3 linked regions of the Canis lupus familiaris genome follow. The protein of the gene in region 1 purifies or fractionates together with the protein of each later gene. This does not show direct contact. Links are inferred from orthologs where the notes say so. Each region holds a gene or a part of one and is shown in the gene's direction. Other genes may lie near its edges.

Evidence for each region.
Region 2: the proteins of ZUP1 (region 1) and RPA1 purify together in Homo sapiens (affinity purification with western blotting; 4 studies listed by BioGRID, with this or other methods). This does not show direct contact. The link is inferred for Canis lupus familiaris from reciprocal best matches to the Homo sapiens genes ZUP1 and RPA1.
Region 3: the proteins of ZUP1 (region 1) and UBR5 purify together in Homo sapiens (affinity purification with mass spectrometry, with the first as the bait; 3 studies listed by BioGRID). This does not show direct contact. The link is inferred for Canis lupus familiaris from reciprocal best matches to the Homo sapiens genes ZUP1 and UBR5.

What each region holds. Positions count from the first base shown.
Region 1 is NC_049222.1:57,641,074-57,644,722, reverse strand, and holds part of ZUP1 (zinc finger-containing ubiquitin peptidase 1), read left to right. Parts: intron 1-633; coding exon 634-822; intron 823-1,621; coding exon 1,622-1,787; intron 1,788-3,649. UniProt on the Homo sapiens protein: Deubiquitinase with endodeubiquitinase activity that specifically interacts with and cleaves 'Lys-63'-linked long polyubiquitin chains. Shows only weak activity against 'Lys-11' and 'Lys-48'-linked chains.
Region 2 is NC_049230.1:45,903,472-45,907,220, forward strand, and holds the start of RPA1 (replication protein A 70 kDa DNA-binding subunit), read left to right. Parts: upstream 1-1,136; 5' UTR 1,137-1,258; coding exon 1,259-1,291; intron 1,292-3,749. UniProt on the Homo sapiens protein: As part of the heterotrimeric replication protein A complex (RPA/RP-A), binds and stabilizes single-stranded DNA intermediates that form during DNA replication or upon DNA stress.
Region 3 is NC_049234.1:4,153,849-4,157,597, reverse strand, and holds the start of UBR5 (E3 ubiquitin-protein ligase UBR5), read left to right. Parts: upstream 1-1,007; 5' UTR 1,008-1,088; coding exon 1,089-1,150; intron 1,151-3,749. UniProt on the Homo sapiens protein: E3 ubiquitin-protein ligase involved in different protein quality control pathways in the cytoplasm and nucleus. Mainly acts as a ubiquitin chain elongator that extends pre-ubiquitinated substrates.

The sequences.
Region 1 (3,649 bases):
TCACACAGAGAGAGAGAGAGAGGCAGAGACACAGGCAGAGGGAGAAGCAGGCTCCATGCACCGGGAGCCCGATGTGGGATTCGATCCCGGGTCTCCAGGATCGCGCCCTGGGCCAAAGGCAGGCGCTAAACCGCTGCGCCACCCAGGGATCCCATTACTAAAGGTTTTAAATTGGGAGCAAATTGATGAGCTTCAGAGAGCATAATGTCCAACACTATGTATAATAATAGACAAGTATAACATTCATTCAATTGTTTTGACTTATTTGCTCTGTCTTGTTAAGGACAAAACTGATTTTCCCATAGTTACCCTCATTCAAGTGAGAGTTCAGTGATTGTCTTTTATGTGCACCTTGCAGGTGCAGAAATGAAAGATGTAAACCGCTTCAATTCTGTGTAATAAGTAAGTAGCATGCTAGTGTCAGGAAAACTTGCATAGTAGTAACAAGAAAGACATGAACTAAGGTTATAACAGTCAAAAGATAAAGAAGATGGAATTGACAGGATTTAGATGGGGCACTTGAGGGTGGAGAGGGGCTGATACTAGAAATAGATGAGACAGCCATAGAAGAGGATAGCTTATCCATAGAAGAGGATAGCTTATCCTTCTAAATCTTCTTTTTTTTTATTTTAGGAATTATTGAAGCACTTTATAGATACTATCAGAATGCTGCCACAGATGTGAGACGCGTGTGGCTTTCCACAGGGGTGGATCACTTTCATTCATCTTTTGGTGACAAAGGTTGGGGTTGTGGTTACAGAAATTTCCAGATGCTACTTTCATCATTACTGCAAAATGATGCTTATGATGATTGCTTGAAAGGTATGTGAAATACAGTTCTCTCAATTTGTCCACTGATAACATAAGCCCTCTAAAACACATGAGTTTGAACTACATATACATGGATTTTTATAAATGGAGTTTTTACAGCCTAGTATTTTATTTCTCTTATGACTTTTTTCCTTATGAGTTTCTTTTTTCTAGCTTTATTATAGGAATACAGTATATAATATGTATAACATAAAATATATGTTAATCAACTGTTCCTTTTATATTTATTCGGGAGGCTTCTGGTCAACAGTAGGTTATTAGTAGTGAAGTTTTTGGGGAGCACAGGGTGCCTGAGTGGCTCAATTGGTTAAGCGTCTGCCTTCGGCTCATATGGTCCTGGGATCAAGCTCTGCAAGGAGTCTCCCTCTCCCTCTGCCACTTTTCCCTGCTTGTGATATCTCAATGTTTTTCTCCCTCTCTCTAATAAGTAAATAAATAAAATCTTTAAGAAAGTTTTGGGGGAGCAAAACGTATGCAGATTTCTGACTGTGTCAGGGGTCAGTGCTCCTAACCCTTACATTGTTCAAGGATCACCTGTACATATAATATGGAATGAATTCATATATAGTACATACAATTAATAGCTGTAACGAAGAAGTGTTTTGGTGGATAATTACATTAAAACCTGAATTCTGGTTGGAAGAAGAGAAAATGATACAATAGAAAATGTCAAGAGTAATGATCTTAAAAACCGTGTTATAGGTCCTCTAGAGCACATGGTGTACTACTAACTAATACTATTTAGTACTTTAGTAATTGTCATGTAATGTGTTTGCTTGTATAATTTTAGGTATGTCAATTCCTTGCATTCCAAAAATTCAGTCTATGATTGAAGATGCATGGAAGGAAGGTTTTGATCCACAGGGTGCCTCTCAACTTAATAACAGGTTGCAGGGAACAAAGGCCTGGATCGGAGCATGTGAAGTATATACACTCCTGACCTCCCTACGGGTAAAGTATGTACCACAAAACCCAAGTTAAGGTTATTGTCGTATCTGGGAGGTTTTCTTTGTTGTTTTTTCTTTAATCAAAGAGACATTTAAAAAATAAAATTTAAGAGATACTGAAAGGCTTATACTAAAAATCAATAATTCAGTCCCTAGCTCATGTTCTTCTCTATTCTCAAGTCTGATTTCTCAGAGGCAGCTGTTAGTTACTTCAGTTGTTTCTGAATAATATGCTTTTTCTCTCAGGGCTTTTTACGTTTTGTTTTTTGTTTATCAGTTTTAGACATCATCTCTTGAATTTCCCTCACATTTCCTACCTGTGTTCACCCTCAGTCCTTATAATTTGATTAAATCTCATTTTTTTATTTAAGTCAGAGTTTACATCATGACTATAATAATATCATTCATTGCTGATTTTATTTCCTTTCCTGAAAACCTTTTAAAAATTTTCCTTGAGTTAAGAATTGTCTTTTCTTTTCCCTATTACTATTTGACTGTATCATGGTCTCATACATTTTTACACACTCCACTTTGTAATCTGAGGCACTCCTATTCCTGGACACTTCTTCCTTGAGCCCTCTATTGTTTTTGTGCTCGCTAGTCTCCTGGATCCCCTTCAAAGCTAATCATGTAGCATTCCATCATGGTTTCCTTGAAGCGGAGCCTGGAATTTTTTCTGGATTCCATGTCTTTATCTTTTTTGGACTACTCTTCTGCTTAAACACATCTTTCATTAGCTCCCTAAGGAAAGGTGTCTAATGATAAACTGATAGTTTGGGTGGCTATATTATTCTAAATTCAAAATCATATTCAGATCAAATTAAGTTTTTACTCTGTTGACTTCTAGCAATCAATGTTCCTATTGAGAACATAAAATGTCATCTGATTTTCATTCCTTTTATATATAACCTATTTATTTTCTCTGAAAGTTTTTTGCATCAACTCTTAGTTCTGCTGTTAAGAAGTTCTACCATGAATGTGGGGCTTTAATTCATTATATTGGGCATTTGTTTTTCCTTTTGAATCTGGAATTGTGAGTTTAAAGATCTCGGGATAGGGGTGAAGAGCTTGGACTTTGGAGTCAGACTGCCTACAATTGATTCTAGCTTTCCTGCTTATTGGCTGTATGACTTAATTTGTCTATAGCTTAGTTCCATTATTGATAAAAAGAACATGTAAGTACTAACTGCTTCACAGAGTTAGAGTAATATTAAATAATAAGGTGCTTAGAACTGTGACTACAATATAGTAAGAGCTCAGAGGTTAGCTGTTGTTTGATAATTATGATCCTTCCCTTTTCTTTATTTTTTTCTGGAATTTCTGGTAGTTGGCCACCTAACTCCTTTCACTTTTTAAGTTTATTGGTCACGTTTCTTTTTTTTTTTTACCTTTGCTTTTGTTTTACTATGTAGACTTTCTCAGCTCCCAATTACTCTATTGAAATTTGTATCTTAGCAATCATGTTAATTTTAAGGAGTAATTTCATAGCATCATAGTCTGTTATGGTGGCAAATTTTTCCCCAGCATTTATTTTCTTTCTATTCCTTGGATTTTGTGGGTTTCTTCCATGTTAATTAGTTTTCATGTCTGTTTATTTTAGTCCTTTGCTTTTTGAAAGCTTTCTTCTAACTTTTGTAAATCCTTAGTCCATTCCTAGAGTGAAGATGAGGCACTAAAAAGTTGATCAGAGGGTCCTGTAAGATTTTATGGAGCTTGAAGATGAGCAGGCTTCATTTACAGTTTTAAGTGGAAGCTTGCTATTTGAGGAACTCTCAAATTTCAGTAAAGGACCATTCAAAGAAGAGTTCTCCACTTTCCTGCCTAAGCTCCTACATTGATGGAGGGAATAGTTAACCAGTGATTTGCCTTCC
Region 2 (3,749 bases), on another chromosome or scaffold:
GCAACAAAATCAATTCTTGTGGTCTTTTTCCATAGTTTACATGCTGAGGATCTATTTTGTCTCACACCTATTCACCGAAAATCCTTTTATTCAGAAATATTTACTGAAGGCCTAGTTTGTTCCACGCACCATGCTTGCCTCAGACCTCCATCTTCCCAAGCTGTTCAAGTCAGACATCACAGATTTTTCTCTCTCTCCACCTACTACTTAATTAACAAATGTATCTCTTACACAGCTGTTTTTTCTTTCAATCCCCAGATCATTCAATTCATCTTCCACATTGAGACAGATGTAGGTCCTCTGACTTAAAGCTCCTCCAAGCTTTTGGGGAAGCCCTGTACAAATCCTTCACTATTCGACCCCTGGGCTCATTTTCTAAGGCCCAAGTCTCACGTCTTCTTCTGTACCCTATTATTCTGAGCTACTTAAAGCTATCCCCAACTTGCCAGGCTATTTGCCTCTCTAGTTGTTGCATAGGCCATGCCATCCTTCTGGTAGCATCCCTATCCTCACTTAAGCGTCCACTCGGCAAATCTGCACACACCCCCTTCAAGACCCACTTCAAATAGCACCTCCTCCAGGAAGCCTTCCCTGATTTTCCATCTGCGAGCACGGAACACTTTATGTCTCCTCTGAGGCCCATATCATGTCTACATTGAGTTAAGGCTACTCACTGCGGTAACTCCCTCGACAGACTACGCTTTCTCCCGAGGGCGGCGATCGGATCCTATTTACCTTAGGAAAAGCCCCGATGGGCCAAGCTCGGGGTTTAGCAACGGGGGGAGCTCGGCGTTTCGGTTGCTGAAGTAATCAGGTTGGTGCTTTGACTACCGTTGGCAGCACAGTCATCAGGGAACAGCTCTCTCTTCTGGGCGACCAGTAGGCCTGTCAGCCAAAGGCCGAGCCAAGTTTTTTTTCCGAGACGCGTCTCGGAAAGCTTCCGGGACTAGACCGAGGGCCCAGAGCAAGAGCTAGCGTCATCCTTGGCGCGACCCACGCCCCGGCCCCGCCCCCTGGCGCAGCCGTCGGGTGACTAGGGCCTCAGCCTGGGCTCCCGCGTGTCACGTGGCTGCTCGCAGCGCCTCGGCCAATGGGGCGGCTGCCCCGCCACTAAGCCCGCCCCCGTGCCTTGCGCATGTCAGTAGGCGGGGGTGGTGCCTGCAGCTCCTTGGCCCAATAGCTTTGGAGCGCGCGGGGCCCCAGGAGGGAAGTGGGGTCTGCTGACGAGCTGGAGCGCGGGAGTTTGCGCGGCGGAGTCATGGTGGGCCACCTGAGCGAGGGGGCCATTGCGGTGAGGAGACGCCTGCGGACCGGCAGGCCGGGGTGGCTGGGGACCCTGGGGTTGTGGGGGTGGGAAAGGGAGAAGGGGGGCTGGAGGCGATGGGGAGAGAACGCGGGAGAAGATAAAAGGGGTGGGGGAGACCGTCGAGTGACTCCCCAGAATCATCACCGTCTCCGAGAATTTCTACTGTCGTCTTTGAAACATGCCCATGTTTTTTCTACTTAAGAGAAGGAAGCAAAATTAACTCGATGGTCCCGCGTCTCCCTCCTCCGGCCACGCTGTCTCCTCCCTGTCCCCCATCCACAGCCAAACTTCTCTAGAGTTGTCTGTTTTCAGCTCACCTCCCGTTAACAGACCCCGGTCCGTCGTTCCCTCGATCACGGTCGAAGGAACCCGGGCTGAAGTTAACGGTGCTTCCAAGTCGTTAAATCCAACAGACGCTTTTCCGTTTTTAGCTCTACCAGAGTTCTCAGCAGTGTTTGGGTGTGTTGAGCATTTCGTCTTTCTGATAACACTCCCTTCTCTGGGCTTCTATGGCTTGGTTTGGCTCGTCTTCCTCGTCTTATTGCAGGTCCCTCGTTGTACGTTTTTGGTTACTCAAGGTTATGTTCTGGGCCCTCTTTGACCAACACAGTCTCATTACCAACCGTATGTCAGTTGCTCGTAAATTTCTTTGTCCGGAGCCGCCTTTACTCTGAAAAATAAACCTCTATAGTGTGTCTGCCTGCCTGATACCTCAAAGGCATTTTTTATTTTATTTTTTTTAAAAAGGTTTTATTTATTCATTCATGAGAGACACACACACACACACACAGAGGTAGAGACACAGGCAGAGGGAAAAGCAGGCTCCATGCAGGGAGCCCGACACGGGACTCCATCCCGGGACTCTGGGATCACGCCCTGGGCCGAAAGCTAAAGCTATGAGCCACCCGGGCTGCCCGGCATTTTTTTTTTTTTTTTAAGATTTTATTTATTTATTTGAGAGAGAGAGACAGCGTGAACGGCGGGGGTGGGGGGGGGGGGAGAGAGAAGCAGACTCCCCACTGAGCAGGGAGCCTCACAGAGCTGGACCCCAGGACCCATCATCATCATGACCTGAGCCAAAGGCAGATGCTTAACAAACTGAGCCACCCAGGCGCCCCCTTAAAGGCATTTTAAATTTAACATGTCCCAAAGCAAATCTGTTATTTTACTATTTGGGCCTCTTGGTGTTCCCTATCTGGATGAATGGCACCATTATCCATTAAGATATGCTAGCCAGTAATTGTGGAATCATGCTAACTGCAAACTTCCATCACCTTAGATGTCCAGTCCATCACCAAGTCCAGTGTTTTAACTCCACACATATTTCTTAAATCCATCTGCTTCTCTTCTTCTACTCTAGCTCCATCATTCCTTGCCTGGACTACGGACTCCGCCTCTCCCCCGCCAAACACACCAATTCCATCACATACTCTCATTTGTTCTCTCTTCCTTTTATTTGTTTTTGTTCTTTAAATTTTTAATTTTGGTTTAGCTAATGTATAGTGTTCTGTTAGTTTCAGGTGTACAATATAGTAATTCAGCAATTCTATACATTACTCATTGCTCATGATGAAAATTGTACTCTTTAATCCCCTTCAACTGTTTCTCCCCTCCCCCTACTCACCTTCCCTCTAGTAACCATCAGTTTGTTCTCTATAGTTAAGAGTCTGTTTCTTGGTTTGTCTCTGTCTTCCTTTTTTTCCTTTGCTCATTTGTTTCTTAAATTCCATATATGTATGAAATCATGGGATTTGTCTCTTTGACTGACTTATTTTGCTTTGGATTATACTTTCTAGCTCCATTTATGTTGTTGGAAATGGGAAGATTTCATTCTTTTGCATGGCCAAATAATATTCTATTGCATAGGGATGCCTGGGTGGCTCAGTGGTTGAGCCTATGCCTTTGGCTCAGGTCATGATCCCAGGGTCCCCAGATCAAGTTCCACATTGGGTTCCCTGCAGAGAGCCTGCTTCTTCCTCTGACTATGTCTCTGCTTCTCTGTGTGTGTGTCTTTGATGAATAAATAAATAAAATCTTTAAATTAAAAAAAAATATTCAGGCACATGGGTGGGTCAGTGGTTGAGATAGCTTTTGGCTAGGGGGGTGATTCTGGGGTCCTGGGATCAAGTCCCACATCGGGCTCCCCATGGGGAGCCTGCTCCCCAGCACACTCTGCCTGTGTCTCTGCCTCTCTCATGAATTAATAAATCTTTTTTAAAAAGTTATATTGTATATGTGCAACCATCTTTATCCATTCATCTATCAATGGACACGTGGGCTGCTTCCATAATTTGGGTATTGTAAATAATGCTGCAATAAACATGGGATACATGGATCCTTTTGAATTAGTGTTTTCATAAATTTTGAGTACTCAGCAGTGCAATTAGTGAATCCAAAGTAGTTCTACTTTTATTTTTTTGAGGAACCCCAATACTATTTTTGC
Region 3 (3,749 bases), on another chromosome or scaffold:
AGTTGCTGCAAAGTCAGCTCTCGGATCCTGCGATAGGACCTTCTGGAAAGGTCCTTACATAACTACCTCACTTCTCCAATAAAAGGCTGTGTATTCCTTGCCCCTTAAGTGATTTTGCACTTCCACTTTAAATATAACTGCGGATGAAGGGCGAGATACAACAACAAAAAACCCCTAAAGATCCGCAGGATGATTAGGACCGCCCCAGGGAAATCAGAGCGAGGAGCGCAGAGCCCCCGTTCCTTCCCACGTCCCCGGGGACACACACTCAGCCGCCCTCGCAGACCCCTTCCCCGCCCCGGCGGGCTCCCCCGCGCCGCCTCCTTCCCTAACACGTGCTCTCCGGAACACTCACTCGGGAGCGCTCCCACCCCCCGGGGGGCTGGGCTCGGGGCCGCACCGACCAATCGGCGCGCGCCTTACAGCGCCGTGGCCCGACGACGTTGAGCCGCCCAATCGAAAGGGCCTTAGCGCCCGTTTCCCGGAGCCCCGCCCCCTCGCAGCCGAGCCCCCGCCCGCCGGTCTCCTCCCTCCTTCTCCTCCTCCCGTTCGCCCCTCCCCCGCCGCTCGGGAGCGGAGCCTGCGAGACGGAGAAACTGGGGCAGAAGTGAAGATGGCGGCGGCGGTGCTGGCGGCGGCGGCGGCTTCTCGCCAGTGACGCGCGGTGCGGGCTCATCTCCCTCCCCACCTCCCTAGTCCGGACCCCGTCCGCCGCCGGGACCACACCGTCCCCGCAGCCCGCAGCCCGCCCCTCTCCGCCCTCCCCAGCGCCCCCGCTCCCGACGCCCGGCCGCCGCTGGCGGCGGCGCGCCCCGAGTCCCGGCCGCCGGCCTCGCACTCCCGCGCGCTGTCGCCGGGGAGCGGGTGGCGTGTTGATCCGCCCCTGCCCGCCCCGCCGGACCGCCGGGCCGCGGACACACGCCCGGCAGGGAGGCGGCGGCGGCCCCTGCGCATTCGCTTCCCTCCATTGGGGACTGGGAGGCGGCGGCGGCGGCGGCAGTGGGTTTTGGGGAGGGGAAGGGGGCTCGGAGGGGGTGGGCGAGAGCGGGAGGGGGCCGTCCTCGGGAGGAGGACGAGAAGGAAGCACCATGACGTCCATCCATTTCGTGGTTCACCCGCTGCCGGGCACCGAGGACCAGCTCAATGACAGGTAATAGGGCCGGCGGGCTGGCGGGCGGGGGGAGGGGCGCCTCCCCGCCCTCCCCTCCCCCACGAGGCCGCGCCGGGGCGGGCGCCCGTGTTTACGCGCCGGCCGGCGGGCGCGGGGGGGCCTCACCGCCCCCGGCTAGGCCCCTTCCGGGGCAAACTTCTGGTCCCGGGGGTCCGGGGCCGCGGGGGGAGCGCGGTGGAGACGGTGCCCGCGGTGTAGACGGGAAGGCGCGCTGCAACCTCCTCCTCCCCCCTCCCCGCCCCGTCTCCCTCCGAGGAGCCGCGTTGAACTCGGCGGAGATGATTGCGGGGGGGGATCGGGCTCCCGGCGGGGGGGGGGCGGGCTGTAATTACCGCCCGGCCCAGGCCCGAGGAATCCATATTAGTCAAAGTTGAATTGAGACAGACAATGCGGATGGGGGATGGTGGAGGTAAAAAGAGAGGGAAGAAGAGAAGCGGGGCGAGGGGCACGGGGGTAGACCGGGCTCGCCCGGGCCCCCGGGAGCTGTGTCCGGTGGGATAGTCTGGACCTGCCAAGTCTGGAGATGCCAGGGGAGGGGGAGGCTGATTCCCGGCAGATCGCGTCGGGGCGGGGGGGGTATGGAAGCGCCATGATTATTGTTATTATTATTAAATTTGAGCTCCTGCAGTGAGGTTTGCCTGCCCGGGGAGGGGATGAATTCAGGCGGGGGTGGGGAAATGGATTGGATTCCCTTTGCTCTCCTTCTTCCGTAATGGGGCTGGTGAGCTCCTTCTCCCAGCTCCTATGGTGCGAGCTTTTTTGTTTCCTTTTTTATTCTAATGATAGTGTTTTCCTGAGTTGTAATTTGACAGCTGAAAACCGTGCGTAGAGTCAAAGGAAAACTCTTACGTTTGCAGTTCGCAATGCTGCTTTCTTAACAAGCTGTAAATTTCTGGGATGGGTTTGCTATGGGCGGAGGAGGAATTATGATTTTTTTTTTTGTCTTTAATAAGAAGGCTATTTTGGCTGTGGATTCCTCCCTTTGCCTCCTCCACTGTTCCTGCCAGTTTAGGATATTGAATTGCAGGGCCGCATGCTCTCAGGGAACTAAGATAAAGCAGGAAAAGTTCCTTCACTGTTGCAAAACAGACATGGAGAAGGTTGAGGGAGGCCTCCATTAAAGTAAGTCTTAGAATTTAGGACTCCGATCTAATGATGGGCTGAATATTTAAAGGGGCCAGAAAGTGGGGCATTTTAAGCCTTCCTCCCCCACAATGATCTAGCTGCTTTCTATTTCTTTTGAGTATAAATGGCCATCTGGACCCAAGTTTAGAAGTTAGATAGGATTTTTGCTAAGTGACCGGGTGACATAAGTTGCATGACGTTGTTTGTCATGCGCTTCCCGGAGGGAGGAAGAGGCCTAACTTTCGGCTTAGACACTGGCCTCGGTCTCCGAGTATCTATCCGCCTCAGGTGGGGCGGAGAGCTTCTCAGTCCGAAAGCTGGGGGCTTAGTTTGTGGCACTGGTTCAGATTTGTCTAATCTTTGCTGTAGCCAAATTGTTGGCTGTTCGTGAAACTTTCGAAATACTTGCTGAAAATACTGAAATAAATTTTGTCATTTATTTTCTTTGTTATGTAATCCTAATTCTGATTTCACTTCATTAGAGATAGAGATCTTTAAGACTTAAAAGATTTTTTGGGTAAATTTTGGAACCGGGCTATTAGTGAGGATAGCTCTACTGTCATTCATAGAACCAAGTTGGTAGGGCTTGTAGTGTAACTTGTCTTGTAATTTAGGACATTGCACCAGTCAGGAGAGAGGGTAGGCCATGCTTTCTGTATTAGTCCTGCTTGATACCAAGAATCCTGACTGGCTTACTCAGTTGACTATGCCAAAACCTATTTTGTCTTGGGCATTTTGATTCATTTTTGTACATTGCTTTTACTTTAGCTTGTCTGAGAAATTTACAAGTAATGTATCTTTTTTTAAGCTACCTTTTCTTTAATTCCTAGTGTAAACAAGTAATCAGTTTTGTTTTTGAATCCCACAGGGGCAGTATACAATACTAAGAATATTTAGACCACTTTGAGTTTTTATGAACTAGAAGTGAGTTTGATTCAGATTATAAAACGTGTGCATCGAGGTGGCAGATATTTGAGAAAATAGTGCTGTAGGTCAAATTTTGGGGACCTGTAGTTAAGCTGGTAGCATAAAGAATGGTCTGTTGAGATTTGTGAGGACAGCATTGAGATAGTCATGCACCCTGTTTTGATGTAGCTGACTTACAGTGGAACTATTCTGTGTCTCCCCTTCAAAGGGAAAGATCCTCTTTGCATACCTCCTTGCAGAGTAATAGGATCAACCTATTGCTGCATTGCTTGACAAATATCTGTTTACAAAACAGACTGGCTTCTGGAGCTCCTTAACCAGAACAAAAAGTCCAGAATATTTTCATCTTCACATTAAAAAAAAAAAACAAACTACCAAGATTTAGTAAGTTTTGGTAATAGAAACTATAAACTATAACTTGACTTTTATATAAGAAATGTGTCTGTGCCAGAAATGAAATGATAAATGATGTTTTCGGATGAAAAATGGTATAAATAAGTAGACTTTATTCTTTACATGAAAAGCA